3 linked regions of the Arabidopsis thaliana genome follow. The protein of the gene in region 3 interacts with the protein of the main gene of each other region in a biochemical or structural test. Each region holds a gene or a part of one and is shown on either strand. Other genes may lie near its edges.

Region 1 (4,583 bases), on a different chromosome or scaffold from region 3:
CGCTTTTACTTTAAAAAAAGGTTTCAATGATATTATTGTGCCATTGGAGTGTTCTATATATAATCCGAACCTATCCGACCAAAATCCCTACGTTAATGTCGTTTTATAATTTCCTTCTTGACTATACGTCTAGATTGAATTCCAGAAAGAATAACTTCATATATGTTTTCAAAACTGAAACCCCCCAAAATTTAGATCCACCAACTCTTAGGTAGAAGACCATTGAATTTGAGGCTTATGATCTCATAAAAGTAGAATAATTTCACCTCGCATATTTTTAAAAGTTGATAACGTACGTCAAAATCAATTTGACATCCATATTACCTCATCAAACCCATAATAAAGAGAGAGAAAAGAACAATCTGTTTCGAAAACAAAAATGTACCAAAATATATTTCGAAGAAAATCTTTTAACAAAGGCTGACATCAGTCCTCGAAACTGAAAGTACATTTTGGATCCGCCTTTTCAGAAACGCTCACGTTCACTTCCCATGTTATCAACGAAACTGTCCAAATTTGAAAAATATATGACACAAAATCATTTAAATAAATTCATATATATTGGATCAAGTAAAAAACATACAGAATCGTTATCCTTCCATTTATTGAAAACTACTTAGCTCGATCTACGATACAAGATTTTTTACTCGTTCTCTTAACTCTCAAAGATACGCACAAGGTCCAAAAAGATAAAGTTGTAAACATTTAGGCAAAAAGGTTAAACACACAAAAACTTCGGGTTAAAAAGTAAAAACATAACTAAAGTTACGGTCTCTTTTCCTAATTTTTTAAAACATTTATTGTTTTTCCCGGTTTCAGGCGAGTCATCTCTACCGCCGCGACTCAGGCGAGTTTCCACGCCGAGGTTGTGATGAGTGGTCGCGTCTGCCACCCTATCATTAAACATCCGTCATTTTCTTCAACTCTGTATCCATCTCCGGTAGCGTAAAGCGATAAAAGCATACTCGCTTGTTTAAACGCGCTAGATCCGAGATGAATCGGGTCAAACCCAGCGGATTTCATCCGAATCCTCCACTGTGCAGCCGTCTCGTGCCGCTCGACCCGATCGGACCCTTCCGCCGCAACAACGTTGAGTATCTGTCTCCCTAAGTACACTTCTGACATAACTCGGTCTTGACTCGGTAAACTATAACTGTCTTCGAGCGAGTCAAACAAGCTCGAGTAGTAATGAAGCGCTTCGTTGAACCTATCGAGGAAGACGATTCCGTTGTGGTTCGCTTCTTGCTCAACCACCGTTACGATACTCGGTTTAATAGCTTTAACCGTATTGAGAAGCTTTTCGATTGAACCGGATCGGGCTAATAACCGGTGGAGCTCAAATACCGAATTAACCACTAAGGTTTCAGATTCGGGTCGGGTTTCGAACATTTCGGGTTCAAGATCCGATAAACTCTCAGCGGCTAAGCCTTTGAATTCGAATTCAACGCCCATGTTCTGAGCGAATTGAGCTAATTTCCAACCTAACTGTTGAAGCGAATCTGAATTCTCCGTCTGCGGTGGTCCGATTCCGGTGAGACGAAACGACGGAGGTCCACCGGGTCGGAGAGCTAAAGCTTGCATTAAAGCAGGCCATTGCATCCCTTGATTAAGCCCTAAATCAATGACGTGAACTCTACGCGCCGTCGTAACAGCTTCTAGAATCGCTTGGTTCGCCGTGAAATGAGCGAACTTCAGGTAAGGGCAAGACTCGTAAAAGTGCATCTCCAAAACCTCTTCGAAAGATGGGTTCACCGCCGCGCAAACGTCCGTCTCCGCCGTGTAATCACGGTAAATACGACGAGCCAAGGCTTGAGCAAAATACGTAGCGACTTTTCCCATAGCTCCAGCTTGAGAACCCGCGAGTGTTCCCACGCGTTTCACCAGCGCGTCAGCTAAGTTGAGATTCTCCTGGTGAATCGCCTCAGCGCACGCCACTAGTGCGTGGACAAGTCTAACTCCGGTCTCCTGAGAGTCAACGAGCACCACGGACCGAGTTGACTCGTCCGACGATTCGCACCACGATCCGAGTCGGATCCTCTTGCTGCTAGCTTCCTCGTCAAAGACTTCCTCTTCCTTTGGAAACGCAGAAAGACCCGGAATTGCTCTGAGATCGTATTCGGATCTATCCACACAACTTCGGGTCGTGTCAAGATCCGAAGAAGCCGGGTTGTTCAGCTCAGAAAGCATGCTCTCGACCCAGTTAGAGAGATCAGATGGGTTATAATGAACAGAGTCGTTTAAGACAGTAGAACCAACATCATCATTAGACAAGACCATCTCAAGTTGTTCAAGCTTCTGTGCTACTTCAGCCATCTCAGAAGATCGAACCTTGTAGCCAAGAACAGCAAGAAGCTCATCATCCATGTTGCTGTTGTTGTTGTCATCATCAGCCTTCTTCTTATCCGCCATTGAAGGACCTTCTCCGGAACGAGAAGCTGGTAGTGGTTTTGGTGGCGGATCCCATGTTTCTCCGTATCCTCTCTTCATCTTTCTTGTTCTTGTGATGGTGAGTTAAGAGACTGATGAAGTTGAAAAAAAAAGAACAAAAGAGAGTTTATAAGAAAGGAGTTTACTTTACTTCATGGGTTGGTAAGGTTTTTATTAATGGGATTTGAAAAAGAAAAAAAAAAGAATTTTGTGGGTCTTTGTTGTGATTTGGTTACAGACAATTTTTGTGGAAAGAAAGGAGATTCTGAGAGGAGCAATATATAAAGCACGAGGGAGTGAGAGAGAGGTCCAATTAGAGAAGTGACTGTGAAGTGTGTTTAAGAGATAAGAATCAGAGCATGCCACTATTGTTTGGCATCTGTTTCTCTCTTTCATTTTTTCCTAACTCCAAGAAATTTACTCCTTTTTTTTTGTAGTAATGGATAATTTTCTTTATAACTGTTTAGTAGAGATTTCTAAATCTGTTTAGTAGTTTTGACCAATGGAACTTTATAACTTTTAGGTTGTAGTGTGCTTTCGTCATATTTGTTGGTAAGATGTTTTTAAGTTGTGAAGTGATTAAAGTGTCTTTTAATGATAGTGTCATAGTCTTATAGACGATCACGACTTAATTGTTCTTAAATGCCATTGAATATTGTCATATTCTCGCTTACGACTTCGTTGTTCTTAAACCCAAACGGCACCAAATGCGTGTTAAGATAATGGCACTTAAGTGTAGTTTTTTTCCTTATGTTGGATAATGTTTATTTTTTCACTAAATAATTGACATTTGATAATCAACTCTTTTCTAATGACAACTGAAAATATTGAATTATACAAATTTGATTTTCTCATATCTTGGTAGAAAGTATATAATCTTTTCCTCAGTCGAAAGTGTATAATCATGAAGCAAGAATCCTAAGTTGTTAGTGTTTGGATAAAAATACAAATTTTCAAAGCAAACAATTTTTTGTTACCAGCAGGTTTAATGTCATAGAGTAATCAGTTTTTAGAGATCATATTAAACTGAGACAACATTAGATAACTAATTATTTTATTGGTCCATAAGAAAAGTATAATCAGACACAAATATGATTCAACTATTACTCTCTTTTTTCTTGACCAAGTTCTAACATTCTGGTGATGTGAATTCTTTTTTACCATAATGATAAACAAATATGTTTTTAGCTATGTATTGTTTCACTGAGATAAAACTACAGTCTACAGCTCAAGTATTTGAGGGGGACACATGAGCAACTTCTCATGTGCCACGTAGAGGAAGACATAGCCTACGAGACGTCCACAACATAAGGTTACTTTCATTAATTTATTGCATATATCTTTCAGCAGTTTTACATACACACATCATCATCATGCATAATAATTAAGGTTTTTTCGAATAGTGGTATCGTTTGGAAACCGTAAAAGATCCTTTTGGAATATAAGAAAATAAATTATAGAAAAATGTTGTGGGGATTGTATATAGGTATGGTCCCAATCGCAGCTACAAGAAAATGATATTCGTTGTTGTGTTAGAAGTCACATGGTGCATGCTTTTCCATTTTTAGTCATTTGATGTAACTTGTGTCTAAATTGGCCTGTTTTGCTTTTGTGGTTTACATTATTTGTTACTTTTTATTTAGGATCCCTCTTTTAAAATTCATAAGATGAGAGAATCGAAACTGAAGCGCGTCATGCTCACTCGCCAAAACTAGTCCACCTCAAAGAACACTTCATCATCGTCAATTTATCTTTCACCTTATTCACTACCTTTCAAGATTTAACTACATCACCAAACTACGAGTATTTGGATAACCAAACCAAAAGAAAATCTGAGTCATGGTTTCATTTACCGAATATTCAAATCAAAATCCCCACTTCTTCGCCACTTCTCATGTTCACCATTTTCATTTTCTTCATCATTCAAGAAATCTTCTAATGGTTCCTTCTCTTCCTTCTGGCTATTATTGTTGTTGTTATTGTTCCCCCATCCATTCATCAGCAACATCATCTCATTAGGGTTCATGTTACGCCCCTGTTCTCCATGATTCCCAATCGCATTAGCTCTCAACGGGTTACGAGCCATCATCTCGGCATGAGACTGTTGAGACTCTTCTGCCCTTGCTTGTCCTGCTGCTTGAGCCAAAGCCGCCATT
Region 2 (4,789 bases), about 18 Mb from region 3:
AACTATGCCTACACAGCCGTCTCATCCATCGATTACGACATGCTGTGGCTGTGGGACTCATGTTCCTCTTTGTTAGGAAGTCTTATATAGTTATATTTATATAAAATCAAAAGCTGATATTGTTCGGATTGTTTAGTCTTGACTACTCAGATATTGAAGTGTTGTTACGGGTAAAATCAAGAAATGGTAAGTCTGAAGATGTTCCAAGACTTGAGGATATTTAAACATTGCCATGTTTAAAGTGAGTTTAGAGAATGAGAATGTGGTCCAACTTTATCATATCTTTCTATGAATACATGTATTTTTCAAAAGTGGTGATAAAATTAGTAGTAAATATCAAGTTTTCTTTTACACATTCCTAAGCAAAACGGTTTCACCCACTTGATCAAAAGCTGACAATGAAAACCTCTCAAAAAACCCAAAAGTAGAGTTTGGACTCCGGCTTTTCAGAATAAAAAGACTCAAGTGAGGTTTAGCTTCTTTACTTCTATCATCATCATCATCTCCCAGAAACGTTAGCCTCTATGTAATAATCGAGTCGGTCCAAATTCATTCATGCGTCATTTTGTATATATTTTGGGTGAAATTAAACGTAACGTCAATTCGTTGACAAAAAATAAAATAAACGTCATTTCTTTCATATTTATTCAAACTATGAAAACACTTGCTCGTGCTGTTGTTACATACACACATGTTCCTCGTTCTCGAATCTCCACGACCAACGAACCAACTGGGTCCCAAAAGTATAAGGCACGGAATATTTCGGGCGAAATTGTCACAAAACGAAACTACTGGGGTAAGTTAAAGTAAAATAAAAACATAAGGTCACGTTCGCTAAGTCTTTTTTCTTCTCCTCTTTATGACGACGTATCTACCGCCGCAACTCCGCCGCTAGTTTCCACGCCGATGCAGCGATTAGAGGTTTCGTTTGCCACGCAAGCATTAGGCTTCCGTCGTTCTCCTCCACTCTGTATCCATCTCCACCGCCAGATAACGCCAATAGCAAACTCGCTTGCTTAAACGCGTCTGATCCGAGGTTAACCGGGTCAAACCCGGCGGATCCCATACGTTTTCGCCACTGAGCCAGCGTCTCGTGTCGCTCGATCCTATCGCTTCCTTCCGTCGCCACCAAGTTCAATATCTGTCTCCCTAAGTAAACCTCCGACATGACTCGGTCTTGACTCGGTATCACAACACCATCTTCGAGCGAGTCGAACAAGCTCGAGTAATAGTGAAGCGCTTCGTTAAACCGGTCTAAGAAAACGTCACCGTTATGGTTCGCTTCTTGTTCCACCACTGTTACGAGACCCGGTTTAACCGCCTTAACCGTCGCTAACAGCTTTTCGATCGAACCGGGTTGGGATAAAACCGGGTGAAGCTCGAAAACCGAATTAACCACTAGAGTCTCCGATTCGGTTCGGGTCTCGAACATATCCGGTTCTAAATCGGATAACCTCTCCGTCGTTAGACCATTGAATTTGAATTCGACGCCGATGGCTTGAGCCAGCTGAGCTAGCTTCCAACCTAACTCTTGAATCCCTTCTCGATTCGACGGATTCCCAACGCCGGTGAGACGAAACGACGGTGGACCACCGGGTCGGAGAGCTAAGGCTTGCATTAACGCCGGCCATTGCATACCTTGATTAAGCCCTAGATCGATTACGTGTACGACACGCGACGTCGTAACAGCTTCTAGAATCGCCTGATTGGCCGTGAAATGAGCGAATTTCAGGTAGGGACACGAGTCGTAGAAGTTCATCTGAAGAATCTCTTCGAAGGAAGGATCAATGGCGGCGGCGGAAGGATGAATCCGGTAAATTCGACGAGCTAGGGCTTCGGCGAAGTAGGTAGCGACTTTCCCCATGGCTCCGGCTTGAGAAGCCGCGAGTAATCCCACGCGCTTGACGAGAGCATCCGCGAGGCTCAGATTCTCCAGCTGAACCGCCTCGGCGCAGGCCACTAGCGCCTGAACGAGTCTAACTCCTGTCTCCTCGATAAGCACCACGGAACGAGTTGACTCGCTGGTCACTGAGTCACACCAAGGACCGAGTCGAATCCTCTTGTTGCTGTTACTATTGCTACTGCAACACTCATCGTCGTCTGTGATTGGTCTCAGATCGCAAATCCGGTTCGGGTCAAGATCCGGGTAGTAATTAAGATCCGAGAGCATGCTCTGAGCCCAACCGGAGAGATCAGAAGGATTGTAATGAACGGTGTCATTGAAGGCATTACTAGAAGAGGCAATATCATTGGACAAGACCATTTCAAGCTGTTCAAGCTTCTGTGCAACATCTGCCATGTCTGAAGATCGAACCTTGTAACCCAAAACAGCAAGAAACTCGTCCATGTTATCGTCTCCACCACCACCACAACCATTTTCTAACTTCTCCACCATTGAAGGAGCTTCTTCTTCTACAGACGTTTCTTGATGGCTTCGTTTCATCGTCAAGAAATGGAATTTTTTGGTGTTGGAATTGGTTAGACAGAAATTGTGGAAAGAAAGGAGAAGAATTTAAACAGGAGAAGGTAAGAGAGGAGAGTTAGAGAGGTCCAATGAGGGAAGTGAGGGACCTGGAGAGTGTAAGTAAAAGAGATAAGAAGGAAGAGAGGCAGGCCATTATAATTTCGCATGTGTTTTCTTCTCTATTCTTTCTTTTCCAAATTATTTCATTTTTATTACTATAACTTTATTGAATTTCTGATCCAAGTTACAAAAAATTCGTCGCTCTGATAAGGGCGTGTAGTTTTTGTTTAATGGTCCAATGGACTGTCATAGTCTATTAAACTATTTTTTAATACCCACTAAATGTTGAATTTAGAGTTTCTAGAATTATTAAATTGGGTGCTGCAGTAGATATTAGTCATATCATATGACCTATATTGATAACCCAAATAGTTCTTCTCGAGAAATGGAACTTGTAAACTCCGAAAGTAACAGCCCGTTTTCTTCAAGTATCTTGTTTCTATAACAAAATTTTAACTAGTTAACGTGACATACTGTAATAATTTTACTGACAAAATTTGATATTTATTTTTTTAAATGATACTATCTCCTAATAATTTGTTTGCCGAAATGGTATAAAATAATACTAATTTTTAAAAAAGTTTGAGAAGAAAATAGAGGTCCCGATAGAAGTACAGCTCAAAGTATTGCAGTTAGGGAGACAACGTGACCAACCTCACGGTCGACATGTGGCGGCAGTCGACATTAGGTATCAGACGTCTACAACATTACGTTGCTTTCTTATTATTATTATGTTTTCATTTCTTTATGTGTGTAAATTGAATTTTATTCCCCATACCAAAAACATCATTTTAAACATGATAGTTACATATATAGAAGATTTTTATAATAGAGTAGAACTGAACATAAAAATAGATTTCACTCTTGAATTAGTTTGTTGGTCTAAGTACAAATGGCTTATTATTTTCCGTTTTGTGAAAATAATGTATAATCCTGTATAAAATAAAGTTTCGAGTAATTTTATATGACTTAGCGAATGAATACACAAGCTAAATATATTAGTATATTACCCTTCGTTCGTTGATATATTGGCAATTTTGAGGGAAACAAATAAATGACGAGACTATTTAATGGCCGGATACGTTTTGAAATGTTACCCAAGTTACTTTCTCGACATTTTAGGCGGATGATCCATTGACTAATTATCCTCTTAATTATTCGAACAATAAAAAAAACTACACTATCCAAAACGTGTGGTAAGAAGATATTTATCCACAATGTTCCGTAAATATCTCATTTATTTACATTTTGAAACCTATCATCAAACTAAGTAACCAACCCTGAAATATTTAGTCAATTATCTTACAAAAGAAACTCAACAAATCCCCTATCATTGTGACAAAAACCCTTGATTTCACTCTCTATATATACTTAATGATCTTCCTAAAACACAGTCACAACGAAATAAGCATGGCAAAAGCAATCGCTTTAACTGTCTTTTTGTTCTTATTCTTGTCATTAATATCTCTAACCCTAGCAACAGATTATCCACTATTCACAAAGTCTCGATGGATCGTAAACAACAAGGGCCACCGCGTGAAGCTAGCTTGCGCGAACTGGCCTTCGCACCTCAAGCCAGTGGTAGCAGAGGGGCTGAGCAGCCAGCCAATGGATTCAATATCGAAAAAGATAAAAGACATGGGATTCAATTGTGTTAGGCTCACTTGGCCACTTGAATTAATGATTAATGACACTTTAGCCTTTAATGTTACCGTGAAACAATCATTTGAGAGATATGGATTGGATCATGAGCTTCAAGGGATTTACACTCACAATCCATACATTGTCAATACTCCTCTCATCAATGTCTTTCAGGTATAAATACATAATTAATCATGTGATTCTAGTATTACATAATTTCTTCAACTCAAACAAAAACTATTCTTTTCATGTTCAATTAAAAATCCATGGTTTTTAAATAAGTCATTTGTGACTGAAAAATATGACTAAAACATGTTTTATCTTATATTGCAATAATGATTATTTTTCCATTTCTTTTCAGATCTGATCATCGTTGTAATGAAAAAAATATATTTCACATGCTTCTTGTTTTTACTATATGATATCTTCTAACGCAAGGCAACATGTTTGTGTAGGCTGTGGTGTATAGTCTTGGGAGGCATGATGTGATGGTGATACTTGACAACCACAAGACCGTACCGGGGTGGTGTTGTAGCAACGATGACCCGGACGCGTTCTTTGGCGACCCAAAATTCAACCCGGATCTATGGATGTTGGGTCTTAAGAAGATGGCCACAATATTTA
Region 3 (4,952 bases):
TTTTTTTTCTAAAAGTAATCAACGTCGTTGTGGTAGAATAGTTTCGGAATGAGATTGATTAATGTCGTTTTGTATCTTTTCAGAATTTGTTATGCAATACGACAATTTATTCATATCACCTTCTTTTAGATCTGTATCCAATTATAGAAATTGGATGATTTGATTCATCAAATTCAAAGAACCCTTAAGATACCACTATCTCCTTTTTAAAATGGATCAAGACCTCATTATCCACTACCACTCGTGGCAAAATGAAAACTATATAAAATCAACACAAAATGGAGGGAAACTAAAATTTACGCGCTAATGAGTAAAGTTGGTTAAAGCTTCTTTACTCTCAACATTTGGACCTGACGTCTTGTCGTCGTTATTTATGGGCTTGGTGATGTTTTATTGGGCTTAAATTTTGTACATTTTAGTGCAAATAAATATTTCGTTCTAAACAATAATAACGAATCGAAAAGCCCAAGACATGTTATACTCGAGAGCCAACAGTCAAGCTGATTTCAACGTATCTCGTCACGCCACGTAGTTGATTAACAGCCGAAGATCGCCGCTGATAAAGAACTAGATTGACGGCTGACGAGTTAATACGTCTGCTCTACTGTCAAATTCACAATTCAAAGCGAGGTAGAAAATTAGAGTCAGAGTCATAAGAGATTATGAGTAATCAAACGAACTTTCACCAAATTGCGTGTTTCCATTGTTGAGAATTTAGCAAATGAAAACACATTACAAAAGCGAAATAGCAAAAAAAGGAAATCAAATCTTGCTACATTTACTAAAATACCTACATTGAAATTCTCAAATCTAATTTCCAGAAACAGATCTCCAAACACAAATCTGAAAAACCCTGATTAACCGCCGAATCCGTAGAGAGTCCTTCCTTGCCTCTTGAGAGCGTAGACAACATCCATGGCGGTCACAGTCTTCCTCCTAGCGTGCTCGGTGTAAGTGACAGCATCACGAATTACGTTCTCGAGAAAGATCTTGAGGACGCCACGTGTCTCCTCGTAGATGAGACCACTAATACGCTTGACTCCACCTCTACGAGCCAATCTTCGAATGGCAGGCTTGGTGATTCCTTGGATGTTGTCTCTCAGAACCTTCCTGTGACGCTTGGCTCCTCCTTTACCCAAGCCTTTTCCTCCCTTTCCACGACCAGACATTTTCTCGAGAGAATTAGATTTCTTTTTTTCGCTACTGTGTGAAGAAGAATTGCTTTTGATTTTCAGATATTGACTGGACGTGTTTGTTTATATATAAGAGGGCTTTTGTTTTCAACCATCCGATTTAATAACCCATCTAACGGCTGTTAAGCTCAATCCTTGTCAATACTGATATGACATGATAGCCGTCGATTGATTTTAATCAACGGTTATTAATTGTGATCCGCATGATAACTACATAAGTGTTCTTCAGAGCTTCGCTTTGTAGTTACTAGTTTGCATGGGCTGGCTTACTTTTTAATGGGCCGGTTATGGATCGAAACCAAACTTCTCTTATTTTCGAATACGCAGGCGTTTCGGTAACTGCCTCATACGTCGTCGGTTGCATAGTAAAATAAATTTATTTCTTTTTCTTCTCTTTTTTTTTTTTTGGTCGTATTTATATTTCTTCTCCTAAAATCGGTGAAGTATCTAAAAACCCGTTATTTAATGCTTAAACCCTAATCGGAAAATCTCTCCGCCACTGTTCTCTCCGACTCACTAATGGGATTCTTCGATCTTAGCATTCCGTACAATGAGCCGCCACGATCAGGTGGTAAGGAAATCGCCGGCGGGAAAACCTTACGATTAAAGCTCGCCACGAAAGCCATGGAGCTAGGCTATGTTGGGATCGCACATAACCGTTCGATCAAAGGCGTAATGTCTGACAAAGACTCTTGTACGATCCCTCTTCTCACTCTTGGGTCTCTAATCAAAGTCGCTCCGCGGTTAGCTTCTTCTGTCGGATTCCATCGCGATTTACTCGGTGTTCCGCGAACTACTCCGTTTCGGCAGTACACGCGTCTCACAGTTCATGTGGAGAGTAATGCTCAGTGTCAGAGTTTGAATTCTGGGAATCCGATTCTAAAGAGTTATGATATTATTGCTGTTAGGCCGATGAATCAGAACGCTTTCGATTATGCCTGTGAGAAAGCTGAGGTTTGAATTTCTCTCTTTTTCTGTTAAAAATTCAATCTTTAGTTTTTGTAGCTCAATTGGAGTTTTTTTAGTTAGGATTTAACTCTTAGCTTGTTTGTTTTCATAGGTTGATCTTATTTCGATAGATTTTACGGACAAGATGTTATTCCGATTGAAGCATCCCATGGTTAAAGCTGCTATTCAGGTTTGTGATTTCACTGTTAGAAGAATCTGTGTGTATCTTATTCTTTTTATTTGCTTCACCTTAATGAATTTTCTTATCTGCAGCGAGGGATTTACTTTGAGATTAAGTACTCTGATATCCTTATGGATGCACAAACGAGGAGACAAGTTATATCAAATGCTAAGGTGAGATTCTGTGGAAAATTTTATTGTCAATTAGTTGATCATGTGAAAGTTTTATGAGAACTTGCTTATACTGTCTTGTGATATGGTGTATCTAGTTACTGGTGGATTGGACTAGGGGGAAGAATCTAATTATATCAAGTGGTGCTCCTTCAGTCACAGAACTTAGAGGTCCAAATGATGTCATAAATCTCATGTTCTTACTTGGACTCTCTGCTGAAAGAGCTAGAGCTGCCATTTCAAAAAATTGTAGGTATGTATCAAATTCGTCTAGCAATTGTGTTATTTGATGCTGCTAAGCGTCATTGAGAATGGATTTTAAATTGCTTTCAGGAATATGATAGCCAAGGTTTTAAAGAAAAAACGGTTTCACAAAGAAGCTGTCAGGGTTGAATTACTTTCTGCTGGTGATACTTTTAGCCTCGAACAGCCTCTGTCTGAAGATTGCATGAAATGGGATCGCCTTTCGAGCGGTGAAGGTGACATGCTTTTGGATGATCTTGCAAAGGCTTTTGATGCCACAAATGTTGTGGCGCACAAATCCTCGAAGGCGATTGATTTCACCTCTGTTCTTGATGGCTTGCCAAAACATGGTTTCCGGGTTAAGGATATTGTAGGAACTGAATCAGTGACTCAGCCTTCTGCAGCTAAGGTGATTGACACTCAGGTGCACAGTAGTAATCAAGTTTCTGAACTACGTATGGCCACAGCTTCATCTGATGATAACCTTCGGGAAATTGAAACCATAAGCCAAATTGACATGCTGATGTCTGAAGATGACAATAAGGTGGAACCTACTACAAATGTCCTCAAAGAAGAAGCATTTGCCCTAAGGAAATGCAGTGCCAGCCATGGCCAGGGGATTTTGGTGCAAAATCAGACGGCTACTCCCTTTACACTGACAAGATGTACAAAGTCAGAAGCAGCGTCGGATGTTAGCATGAATATTGAGTCGACTTCCGAAGGTGGATCAATGTCACCGTCAAAAAGCGATCATGGGATCCCACAAAGTCCTGTTGAAGTGAATAACATGGGAAATGCTGCTTTTGAAGAAGAAGCCTCAGTGGACGAAAACAGCAAAGAAAGAGCTACTACTGGTCATGCTAGTAATGATGAGATGCATATCACTGAGTCTGGACACCACGCATCCATTGATGATGAGAAGCATATCCCTGAGCCTGAACACCTCACATCCATTGCTGATGAGATGAAAATTGATTGTTCTTCGGAAGCAAATCACGACGAGTACATGGAGGTCACAATGGAAGACCAGATGCATGAAACAGGTGACAGTAAGATTATTCTTCCTAACTTATCCTCTGAGACTACCGATTTGCTAAGTGAATCAGGTAAATCTCTCAGTCCAGATGCGGTTGTGCAAGACCATGACGAAGCATCAAGACTAGAGTCCGATGAGACAAAGCTCGAGGAAGAGGCATCAGTTCCAAACCACAACACCTTTGAGATAACAATGGAAGACAATAAGGTCGAAGAGTTAACAATTGAAGACGAGAAGGTTGAAAAGACTGAAACCGAAGCTAGTCACCAAGCCCAAGTCCAATCCTCTGAAAATAACAATGACACAAAATCAGGTACGAGATCTAAGTTTCCTCATTTGCAAATCTAACCTAACACATAAGTTTGGAGTATAGATTTCAGTCTAATGTTATATCAATCCATAATGTAGGTAAGACGCAAGCTAAGAGGAGTAGAGTTCGTTTACCGCAACTAAGGCCTTTCAAGCCTTTTCTACTTCAATCAAGGTTCAAAAGGATCAGTAAAAAAAGAAAACATTGAAGAGCTTGATCATTCTTATAAGTACAAGTTTTGTCCATTAATTTATACCCACGCAAGTCTCGTGGTTTCATTTTTGAACCGATTATAAAATGGGGGAAAGAAAGAATCTAATTTATTCTCTAGAGTTGATTCTTTGTGTACTCGTGTTCAAGAAAAAGGCTTTTAGTTAAAATATTAAAAAGGAAAAAAAAAAGTTAAAAAGATTTAAGAGTGGAGGAGTCGGTAAATCTACCGCCGGCCGACAAAAGTCGGGGACAATGTCGCCGGAGGGCCTACATCTCCCTCCATAGCCATTGCTAAAGAAGAAAGACTGCTCTCTTTCCTTTTTCAAAACTACTTTATTTATAATCTAATTGAGAAGCATTATTCTTCACATTATTACTAATTACCTACTTGTGAGAAAAATTATTCTCTTATTACTAAAGATGCCTAACATTCAAATTATTTTCACTTTTAAATAAAAATAAATGATTTTTGTTACTGTTGGAAAATAATATAGTCTTACAATCAAAGTAACATTTTTTCTTGCAAAATATCAAAAGTGCTGAGAAACTTTTCCATAGCTTTTTTTTTTGGCAAAAATAATTGCTAGTATGTTTTCCTCTAGCTTTTTTTATATACTGACTTATGAGAATGAATGTATGGGTTGATTACTTTAAGTTA

What was found.
Region 1: the proteins of GAF1 (region 3) and RGL2 form a complex in vitro, tested with the Arabidopsis thaliana proteins (one study listed by BioGRID).
Region 2: the proteins of GAF1 (region 3) and RGL3 form a complex in vitro, tested with the Arabidopsis thaliana proteins (one study listed by BioGRID).

What each region holds. Positions count from the first base shown.
Region 1 is NC_003074.8:818,793-823,375, forward strand, and holds RGL2 (RGA-like 2), read right to left. Parts: upstream 2,861-4,583; 5' UTR 2,488-2,860; coding exon 844-2,487; 3' UTR 545-843; downstream 1-544. Other genes in the region: AT3G03460 (mediator of RNA polymerase II transcription subunit-like protein), read right to left, coding at 4,277-4,583.
Region 2 is NC_003076.8:5,763,445-5,768,233, forward strand, and holds RGL3 (RGA-like protein 3), read right to left. Parts: upstream 2,803-4,789; 5' UTR 2,444-2,802; coding exon 872-2,443; 3' UTR 545-871; downstream 1-544. Other genes in the region: AT5G17500 (Glycosyl hydrolase superfamily protein), read left to right, coding at 3,935-4,339, 4,621-4,789. UniProt on the Arabidopsis thaliana protein: Probable transcriptional regulator that acts as a repressor of the gibberellin (GA) signaling pathway. No effect of the BOI proteins on its stability.
Region 3 is NC_003076.8:24,145,495-24,150,446, forward strand, and holds GAF1 (Polymerase/histidinol phosphatase-like protein), read left to right. Parts: upstream 1-1,604; 5' UTR 1,605-1,712; coding exon 1,713-2,147; intron 2,148-2,253; coding exon 2,254-2,331; intron 2,332-2,414; coding exon 2,415-2,495; intron 2,496-2,590; coding exon 2,591-2,745; intron 2,746-2,825; coding exon 2,826-4,084; intron 4,085-4,179; coding exon 4,180-4,289; 3' UTR 4,290-4,448; downstream 4,449-4,952. Other genes in the region: AT5G59970 (Histone superfamily protein), read right to left, coding at 858-1,169. UniProt on the Arabidopsis thaliana protein: Probable component of ribonuclease P, a ribonucleoprotein complex that generates mature tRNA molecules by cleaving their 5'-ends. May also be a component of the MRP ribonuclease complex, which cleaves pre-rRNA sequences.